2 linked regions of the Callithrix jacchus genome follow. Each later gene encodes a partner of the first gene's protein in a complex. Links are inferred from orthologs where the notes say so. Each region holds a gene or a part of one and is shown on either strand. Other genes may lie near its edges.

What was found.
Region 2: EXOSC3 (region 1) and EXOSC1 share a complex: the UniProt entries of both Homo sapiens proteins name them as parts of the RNA exosome core complex. The link is inferred for Callithrix jacchus from reciprocal best matches to the Homo sapiens genes EXOSC3 and EXOSC1.

The regions. Positions count from the first base shown.
Region 1 is NC_133502.1:144,772,601-144,777,608, reverse strand, and holds the start of EXOSC3 (exosome complex component RRP40), read left to right. Parts: upstream 1-2,063; 5' UTR 2,064-2,083; coding exon 2,084-2,413; intron 2,414-3,078; coding exon 3,079-3,228; intron 3,229-4,946; coding exon 4,947-5,008. UniProt on the Homo sapiens protein: Non-catalytic component of the RNA exosome complex which has 3'->5' exoribonuclease activity and participates in a multitude of cellular RNA processing and degradation events.
Region 2 is NC_133513.1:90,265,688-90,270,681, forward strand, and holds the start of EXOSC1 (exosome complex component CSL4), read right to left. Parts: upstream 3,151-4,994; 5' UTR 3,131-3,150; coding exon 3,100-3,130; intron 2,995-3,099; coding exon 2,879-2,994; intron 416-2,878; coding exon 341-415; intron 1-340. Other genes in the region: palmitoyltransferase ZDHHC16, read left to right, coding at 4,486-4,625. UniProt on the Homo sapiens protein: Non-catalytic component of the RNA exosome complex which has 3'->5' exoribonuclease activity and participates in a multitude of cellular RNA processing and degradation events.

The DNA of each region.
Region 1 (5,008 bases):
GCCCTGGGTCCCTCAGGTCATGGTGCAAACCGCTGCATGTGCAGCCACTCTCTGGGCCCACTGCATTTACTCCATAGAACTTAGGGACAGGCCAACCAGTGCTACCATGCTGGTACTCCTACTGTATGCTGTGTTGAAAAACAAATTTCTTCATCTGATCCACCAAATCTCATCTACATTGGTACCAATGGAGCTGTGGCAGGTGAACCTGCTTTCTTGCTTAGTCATCTCCTTTGGAGGCTGGGGCTCTTCTCTAACAAAAGGTGCCATGACACAGGCACACACACAGTACAAAATGAGAATAAACATGAAAGATGTTTCCTTATTTGAGAAATGCCAATAAATGGCAAAGCTGTTGGAAACCAGAAAACCATGTAATTTTGAGTATTTAAAATTGGTTCTGTATTGTGATACACCAAGTCCAAACTTGAATGTTATTCCACATAGGAATCTAGCCAACAGAATGTAGTTCAGATTTGGGGAATGATGGTAAGGAAACTATATTTTATGGAATTGCTAACACATTTAAAACAGTAGTTAATAAGAAAAAAGTGTGTTCTGGGCCGGGCATGGCAGCGCACGCCTGTAATCCCAGCACTTCGGGTGGCGGAGGCGGGCGGTCATTTGAGGTCAGGAGTTCGAGACCAGCCCGGCCAACATGGTGAAACCCCATCTCCACTAAAAATACAAAAATTAGCCAGTTGTGGTGGTGCATGCCTGTAATTCCAGCTACTCAAGAGGCTAAGGCAGGAGAATCGCTTGAACTTGGGAGGCGGAGGTTGCAGTGAGCCAAGATCGCGCCACTACACTTCAGTCTGGGTGGCAGAGCGAGACTTTGTCTCAAAAAAACCCAAAACAAAACAGAAAAAAAAAAAAAAAACAGAGTACTTAAATATCAAGGGACCTGGTTACACTCCGAATGGGGAGGCATAGGCCAGAGGCACTGGAAAGGGGAGCAGCCTCGACTGCTTTGGCTCCAAACCCGCAAGCCTGACAGAGAACCGGGCGTAATCCACCTCGCGATCAGCAGGGAAACACAAGCGCCGGCGGAGGGCAAAGCCTCCTCCTTATTCCCCAATCGTTGCACTTTTCCCACTTTTATAACCAGAGAGGAAGCACGAGTTGCTCGAAAATGTGAACCGTGACCCATGGGACCCTAGGACCAACCCGCGCGCCCTCGAGGGCTTGAAGCCGGGTTTCAAACACTCGTTCGCGGCTTCGGGCTCCCACCTAACAGCGGACGAATTCCCGCCGCCCAGCACCGGCTGCTAGCTCTCGGCAGGGCGCAAGACCCCGAGGCGGCGAAGCACCGACGCAGCTGCGCACGGCCAGGTAAGCTGGCTGCGGTTCCTCGCGCCCCGCCCGCTGTGGGCGTGTCAGGGTGGGTGGTGCTCAGGAGTGGCCCAGCCCCGGCCCTCGGGTCGCGAGAAAACTTTCCATCCCGGCCTCAGCTGTTTCATCTGCTGACCTGCTAGAGCGCTACGCCGCGCGTCATGTGCGGCCTCTGCTAGCTCTGATCCGAGTTTCTTCCAAAGACTTCACTACCGACGTGGGGTGAATGAAGGACAGTTCAGAGAACATTTCCCCACCTGCCTCTTTGCCTGGCCCGAATGTGAGGTCCTTGAGCGCCCTTCAGCCGTGCTGTTGATCCTGCCAACACTGAGGCAGGCAGGGTCACCCAATACTTCTGGAGTGGGGAAGAGAAAAGCACAATTAATACTGTCTCTGCCACAGGAGCTCCCATTTTTGCCAGGGAAACTAACCTGGAAGTGGGAGCCCCTTTTATTTGTTGGCCTTCTATTACACCTAGCGGGGAAAATGGCTTGCCAAATTTGGAGGGTGTGTTGAAGATGATCTGTCTCAATCCTAAAAAACATAAAAGTTCGGCCGGGCGCGGTGGCTCACGCCTGTAAGATAGATGGCTGGCTACAGCCACCTCGGACGGGCACCTGTGAGCTGACGGCAACGAAGCTTCATAAACTGGTCAACTCAACCGACCACTACTGCCGGAACCGGAAAGTCATCAAGGGCGGGTGCGGAAGCGGAAGGCGAATACCGGAAACGGTGTTTGCGGGCGTCCGCAATGGCTGAAGGTGTATCAGTAGTTGCTGAATCTCTCGCGGGCGGCGGGGCGCGCGTTGCGCGCTCAGTACTAGGTCAGGTGGTGCTCCCGGGTGAGGAGCTGCTCCTGCCGGAACAGGAGGACGCGGAAGGCCCTGGCGGTGCAGGGGAGCGACCGTTGAGCCTGAATGCTGGAGCTTGCTCGCGGGTGCGCGTTATTTGCGGCCCGGGCTTGCGGCGCTGTGGGGACCGCCTGCTGGTCACCAAGTGCGGCCGCCTCCGTCACAAAGAGCCCGGCGGTGGCGGCGGCGGCGGCGGCGGCGTTTACTGGGTGGACTCTCAGCAGAAGCGGGTAAGCTGGGACTCCGGAGTGGTAGCCCTGCTTTAAGAAGACCTCCCAAAAGAAGAAAGGATGGGACACTGAAGCCCTCCTTGTTCAGGCACCTAGAGCCCCTAGTACCACCGTAGTCTTGTGCCCACTTTTCATGTCCTTTAGAGGGTCCGTGAACAATAGGAACATACCCTGAGAAGGGCGACCAGGAGAGAAAAACGTTTGGAGACCGTTAGTCATGATTATAGTCTTCAAAACCCCAAAGGTCAGGGAGCAGCAGACTTTCCCTTTGGAGTCTCAGAGGGCAGGACCAGGCTGAATGAGTGGATGTCAAGGGGAGTTAATTTCTCCTAGGACAGATAAGAACTTTCATACAGAAAAAAAAATGTCTAACTATGGAATGGGCTTCCTTGGTTGTAAGGATTCCTTTGCCACTGGATTTATGCTACAAAGCTAGGGACTTACTCTTTGGGGTGCTGAAGAAATACGGGGTTTGGGCTCAATTAACAGACTACCAGAAGCTGCAAACCCGACACTTTATGTGATTTTCTTTTACCAAAAGCGGCATACGATCAAATTTCTTTCTCTTTAATGACAATAAGGTAACCACAAAAGACTTGCTGAAGGTATCTTCCAATGGTATGTTGTTATTTATGACTGTTTTCTCATTCTGTTTCCTTTTGTAGTATGTTCCAGTGAAAGGAGACCATGTGATTGGCATAGTGACAGCTAAATCTGGAGATATATTCAAAGTTGATGTTGGAGGGAGTGAGCCGGCTTCTTTGTCTTACTTGTCATTTGAAGGTGCAACTAAAAGAAACAGACCAAATGTGCAGGTAATGATGGGAGCCTTTGGTTTCAAAGCAAGAAAAACATCCATTCCCTTGAAGGACTCATATCTCCAGAAGGCTACCTGAATTGTCTCCAAAGCATGACCTAGATTTCTGTGCATGCAATTGCCCCAGGCTCCAAGAGTTTCTTCAGATGCTCCAGGACCAGAGCCACATACTTACTTTACATTGACTACATTGTTCTTAGCATGTTTCATTTCTACTGAGTTATCTGTCATCTCTGTTATGTGTTATGTCCACATCCTCTGGACAAGGAAGTCTTCTGTAGGCTTAGAGGAGGGAAAAGTAGTGCGCATTTTGGCATTATCAGCTATCCATCCATCCTGGCTGTAGATCCTAGGAGCTGAGAGAGGAGTGATATTATTGCCTTGGGTTTTCAGATTGGGCTTTTCAGGTAGCATAGCCACACTCTTGTCTACCCCAGCCCGACATTTAGTGATTTCTTTGCTGCTTCTCATTCACTTCTCATGCATATTTAGTTGCCTAACCCTATTTTGATCCTATTTGATTCCATCTCTGATCTTTGGTATGTCCATCCCTTTATCTCCACTTTGCAAGTTCAGGCTTTAGCTCCGTCTTGACTGGACTCAGTCACATTAATCCTTGCCTCCACATTTTTACCTTACCATCCAGGGTTTTGAGAGCAGACATCCTCACAGTCACTTTCTGGAAAAGAAAAAACAAGATTATCCAAAATCTACAGAATTCCTTGGCATTACACTTCAGGTGTCTTTTCCTTATCCCTAATTATATCCTTCATGCAGCCCTACTTGAATCACACCAAAAACCACTAAACTCAATTTCCTGCCCTTATTTCTTTGCACATGCTGTTCCCTCTGGATTGCACTATTCCTTCTCAGCCTGTGGAACACATTCTCATCTTTTAGACCTAGGCTAAACACAACCACCTCTCTAAAGCCATCCCCAGTTGTCACTTTTCTCCTATCTTTTCTCTAGCACTTACTGGATTTAGTATATGTACCTCCCAACTGCCCTCCAAGACCAAATGCTTCTGAAAATCGGAGAATGTTTTCTTCCTCTATAGTTTACATAGTCACCAACAAACAGTAGGTACTTAACACATTTTGTTGAGTAAACCGAGTTCACTCTCCATTTCCTCAGTTTCATCACTTTAAAGTTTAGCTCTATGAGGTTTTTAAGTAATCTTGCAGGGAGAAGTGTCAGTGAATTATTTTGTTTTGCTTTGAATAATTCGCATGCTGTGAGTTCCTTCCTCTCTCTGTAAATCTGTAATTCTCTAGGGTGGTGTCACCTAATACATCTTTCCATAGTGATGCTGTTTTATGTCTCTACTGATTAGTATGATAGCCACTAGCTGTTGAGCACCTGAAATGTGGCTAATGCAACTCAGGAAATTAATTTTAAGTATCTAATTTTAATTAAATGTGAGTTCAGATAATTAGCTACCTACCATATTGGACAGTGCAACCCTAGAGGTGTTCTCTGGCCTTCAGATGGCTCTTCCTCTGTGATTTCCTGGTTGGTGAAAGGGAATGATACATGCGTTCCTTTTTTTCACAAGACTCAACTCCAAAGTGACTGTAGAAATCCTGTAGTGTAGTCAGTCCCTTAGCCACAGAACTGTAGGTGGCTGGCATTGATGGCTGTGGGAAAGAACCAATAGCAGCACCTGTAGAGTAGTTTGCTGAGAGGTAATGAACTGGTTTTTAATATCATTATAGGTTGGAGATCTCATCTATGGCCAATTTGTGGTTGCTAATAAAGACATGGAACCAGAGATGGT
Region 2 (4,994 bases), on another chromosome or scaffold:
CCCCTGGGCTCAAGTGATCCTCCTGCCTCAGCCTCCCAAGTAGTTAGGACCACAGGCATGTGCTACCATGCCTGACTAATTTTGATTCTTTTTGTAGAGATGAGGTTTCACTGTTTCCCAGGATAGTCTTGAACTCTAGGCTGAAGCAATCCTCCTGCCTTGGCCTCTGAAAGTGCTAGATGCAGTATGAGCCACTGCACCCAGCCAGAAATAAATTTTTAATACTGTTTAAGTAGCCATATGTAGCTTGTGGCTATCATACTGGACACTGCAGTTCTAGCATGATCATGATTTCAGTATTGAAAGGGCATTCAAAGCATGGAGGTTAGAACCGTCTTACCTTACAGGTTACAATAGCTCCCACATCTGGCAGTAATTGGGACTCTGTTTCTCTCATTACAGACACCACAGGAAGCTACAGAGGGAACAACAAAAAACTGAAATGTCCTGGCTAACCCTTGGGTCAAGGCATTTGTGGCTTGAGAGTAACATAGGAATGCCTTAGTACACAGTTGAGAGTTGGAGTACAGATTCATTTATAGCCCAGAGCAGAAGACATTAGAAACTTTAGGAAATAGTAGGAAAAAGAGGTTACAGAATGCTGCTAAGACATAAATCTCACTATTCTAGATGAGTTCTAGTAAGTTTTTTGGTGATTCTCTTGGAATTTCTTGGTATACAACTATATACTGCCTATAATCATGGATAATTTTTTTCTTTTTTTTTTTTGAGATGGAGTTTCACTCTTGTTGCCCAGGCTGGAGTCCAGTGGCACGATCTCGGCTCACTGCCACCTCCGCCTCCTGAGTACAAGTGATTCTCCTGCCTCAGCCTCCTGAGTAGCTGGGATTACAGGCACGCGCCAACATGCCCAGCTAATTTTTTGTATTTTTAGTAGAGACGGGGTTTCACCATGTTGACCAGGATGGTCTCGATCTCTTGACCTCGTGATCCACCCGCCTCGGCCTCCCAAAGTGCTGGGATTACAGGCTTGAGCCCCCGCCTGGCTGAAATTCCCACAAAAATGTTACATAATAGTGGCCATGCTTGTTTTCTTCTATTTTAAGTGAATAGCTGCATTTGCTCTTTGAGCATGGTATTGGCTGTTGGTGTAAGACAGATAGTTTGAACCTCATCTTTTATCAATCTCTCCCTTGGTCATGATGCTTCAGCTCTCCTGGCCTTCTTTCAGTTTCTCTGACTTACTAAATTCTTCCCACTTTTGGATCTCTCTTCAACCCGTTCTTTCTACCAGAACTACACTCTCTCCACCCACCCAACTCTTACTTACTCTTTAGATGATTCAGCTTAAATGTCACTTCTGCTGACTAGGGTGGGTTTGGTTGTTACATGTTTTCAAGGTGCCCTGTAATATTCTTTTAAGCAGTCACCAAATATGTAACCATATACAATTTAAGCATTTATTTTACAATTTGTGTCTGTGTCCTTTGATAGCAGAAACCAAGTCAGCGCTGTGCCTGACACATGAAAACACTCAGATGGTATCTGTGAAGTGAAGAAACTCAGGACTGTTAAGGACATTCCCAAGAATGACTGAATAGAAAGCCCCTTGAATCAGACAGCTTAATTTACTTACTCAAAGCAGAATCAAGGTCTAGTTAGCTAGAACCTATGTGTTCTAATTCTGAATCCTCTATTGTGCTCCTTCAAATATTGCTTATGCGATCCTGAGCTAATCCTAGATCAATTTCTGATTTTTTTTTTTTTGAGACGGAGTTTCGCTTGTGTTACCCAGGGGCTAAAGTGCAATGGCGCTATCTCGGTTCACTGCAACCTCCGCCTCCTGGATTCAGGCAATTCTCCTGCCTCAGCCTCCTGAGTAGCTGGGATTACAGACATGCGCCACCATGCCCAGCTAATTTTTTGTACTTTTTAGTAGAGACGGGGTTTCACCATGTTGACCAGGATGGTCTCGATCTCTTGACCTCGTGATTCACCCGCCTCGGCCTCCCAAAGTGCTGGGATTAGAGGCTTGAGCCACCGCGCCCAGCCCGATCAATTTCTAAAACTAGAAAGTTTGGTATTATGCATTCAACAAACATTTATTGAGGAGCTGCCTTGTGCTAGATACTGAATGTATGGTGGTAGGGCCTGCTTTCATGGAACTTAGATTCAAGCAGTGGAGAAGTCTGGTGGGAATCATATACCTGAGTTTCTAATCATATGCTGACATAAATGCTTGGAATAAAAGGAACAGAGGTCTTTGTGAGTCTTAAACAAAACAAACAAAAACAAAACACCCCACAAAACCCCTTTCCTCAATTAGTGGGTCCAGAAGGGCTTCTCTGAGAAGTTGATAGTACAGAAGCTATCTAAAGGAGGTAGGAATTAAATGGGCCTAGGAAGACAGAAGCGTTCCAGATAGATGAATGTTACAAAGGCTCTGTAGCAGGAGAAAGCTTGGCACCTTAGCGACATTGAGAGAAGCTAGTATGTTATAAATTTTTTAAAAAAGGGCAAGCAGAGACTGTGATTATAAATTTTAAAAACAGAAAAGACAGTATGACTAGATTGCGTCAGTGAGGTGGAGATAGTGGCGCAAGATAAAGCCGGAGAGATAAGCGACATTCATACAGTATGCAACTCACTGCTGGGCTGGGCTGGGTTACTGAGTTCACATCTGCTTTTGTCCCAACCTCCCTCCCCAAGAGTCAGCAGCACAACCAAGCGAGATCAACACAACTAGTTTGTGGTGTCCAAGTGCACAACGGCGGCGATCACGGCTAGAAGAAACTAAGACCAAGGTTGTACCGGTGAGGCACTAAAGACACGTCCGCAGTGGCCATGCCTAAGGACTGGAACTTAATGAAAGCCTAAGTGAAAAGAGAGAGAGGAGACGGCAAGCCGCTCCCTTTACCGCGCCGTTCTCGCTGCTCTTCATCAGGCAGCCGGCAAGCGACGAAAAGATGTAACCGTGGCGGGTGTAGGTGCCACTGCCCGGGCTGCCCTCCTCCAAGTTACACAGACGTTCGCCTGCAGAAAAAATGCTCTATCAGTCACTGGCCCCCAGAAGCTATAGGCCGTCCAGCCTTCCAGCTTCGACCTCTTTCCAGGACTCTACGGGAAGCGCTCTCTTACCGGGAATGCAGTATCTGACGGGTGGCGCCATGATTGCCGCTGTCCAAACCCGGATGGAAACGAAGTCGACTTCTCATTGGCCAAACCCAGGCACAGTTCCGCAGTAAGACTTGCGTCAATTGGTGTTCTTTATCACGTGATCTGTAGGAGCGCCTCCTTGCGGGTAAACTCAATTTCCCAGATTACCCCGGGACAAATCCGGGGGCGGAACTTCAGAGCTCCACGCTTGCGACTGCGCCTGTGGTTGAGGATGGGCTGGCGGCGGGTCCGGTTGCGCTGGCTGGCGCTGCGGGCTGCGTGCCATGGTGGGTTGGATTGAGCCCGGCCCGGCCGGGGCGCCGAGTCAGAAGGGGTGGCAGTGAGCGGCGGCAGAGGCTGCGGGGCTCGGTTTGGCTGACTGGGGAGTCGGCAGGCGGCAGGTAAGGGCGAAGCCTCGGCCCTTGCTCCCAATCCTAGTCCCTTTTTTTGGGTCGGGCACTGCCCTGAGGCCTTGTCTTGAGTCCGGGTTCCTGCTCTCTCCCCGCCCCGCCCTGCGGGGCCGTGTCTTCCTCCGCCGGAGCACACCTTCCGAGCAACCGTTAGGCATAGAGCCGGAAGGAAGGAGGTCAAGCGACCCCCTCCATTTCACAGATAGGGAACCTCAGATTCAGAGACAGGGTTTGGCTTGTCCAAAATCTTGAAGATAGTTAAGATAGAGCCCAAACTGGAACCCACGGTTTTTGACTTACAGACCGTCGCAGTTTCACCTCGTGGCTCTCATTGAGAAATAAAACCTTTTCCTGTTTGTTTGTTTGTTTTTTTAAATATATACGGGGTCTCGCTCTGTCGCCAGGCTGGAGTGTAGTGGCGTGATCTCGGCTCACTGAAATCTACGCCCCCTGGGTTCAAACAGTTCTGCCTCAGCCTCCCAAGCAGCTGGGATTACAGGCGTGTGTCACCGTGCCTGGCTAATTTTTGTACTTAGAGACAGGGTTTCACCTTGTTGGCCAGCCTGGTCCCGAACTCTTGGTCTCAGGTGATCCACCCGCCTCGGCCTCCCAAGGTGTTAGGATAACAGGCGTGAGCCACCGCGCCTGGTCCTTTTCCCGGTTTTTTAAACCGCAGCTTTCAGTCCTGCGTTCTGATCCTCTTCACGGCCCCCCATCCCTACTTCAGTGAGCTTTCTCAGGTTGAAAAAGTCGAGCTCTGGTTGTGTGGGCCCCTCATGAAAAGATGAGCAGCCCCAAAATAAAGTTGCTATTCTTTTTCTTCTCAGCGTGTTAGCCCAGAAGGGAGATCTGCACATGAATAAAATGCTACTCTTCATTGATGTCTGGTATCTCCTACTTGGAATTGCAAACATCCTAAGAGCAGCGTCTTTGATCTCAGTTGTTCACCTGACTTCTGATGGCGTTTGCCGTGTGTCCCTGTTCCCTCAGTCGACTTTCCCCTTGGGAAACAGATGGTGACTTAGAGCCATGGGAAGAAGGGAGGCTGTGGCCTGTAGTCTCCTCCAGTCTGGTGGCAGATCATGACTATGGCCTGTGGTGACTACTCTGAGGGATCACAGTACTCGGGGCTTCTGCTTGGGGTGGTAGTGAGGCTACACTTTGCCCTTCTTCCCCCCACACATCTTTCTGAATTTTGCTTTACCTCAGTGTCCTGAGATGAAAAGTCTATGTGTTCAGTTGTAGCCCACTTACTACATATATCATTTTCCTGGCATCCCCTACCCCATTAGCTAAAGGGGAGAGGCCCTAGCCTCAGACTTTGTTCACCTAAATCTGTATCTATGCATTTAGGAGTTTTTTATTTTTCTTCTTATTTTTTTTTTGAGATGGAATTTTGTCCCTCTTGCCCAGGCTGGAGTGCAATGGCATGATCTGACTCTCCACAACCTCCACCTCTCAGGTTCA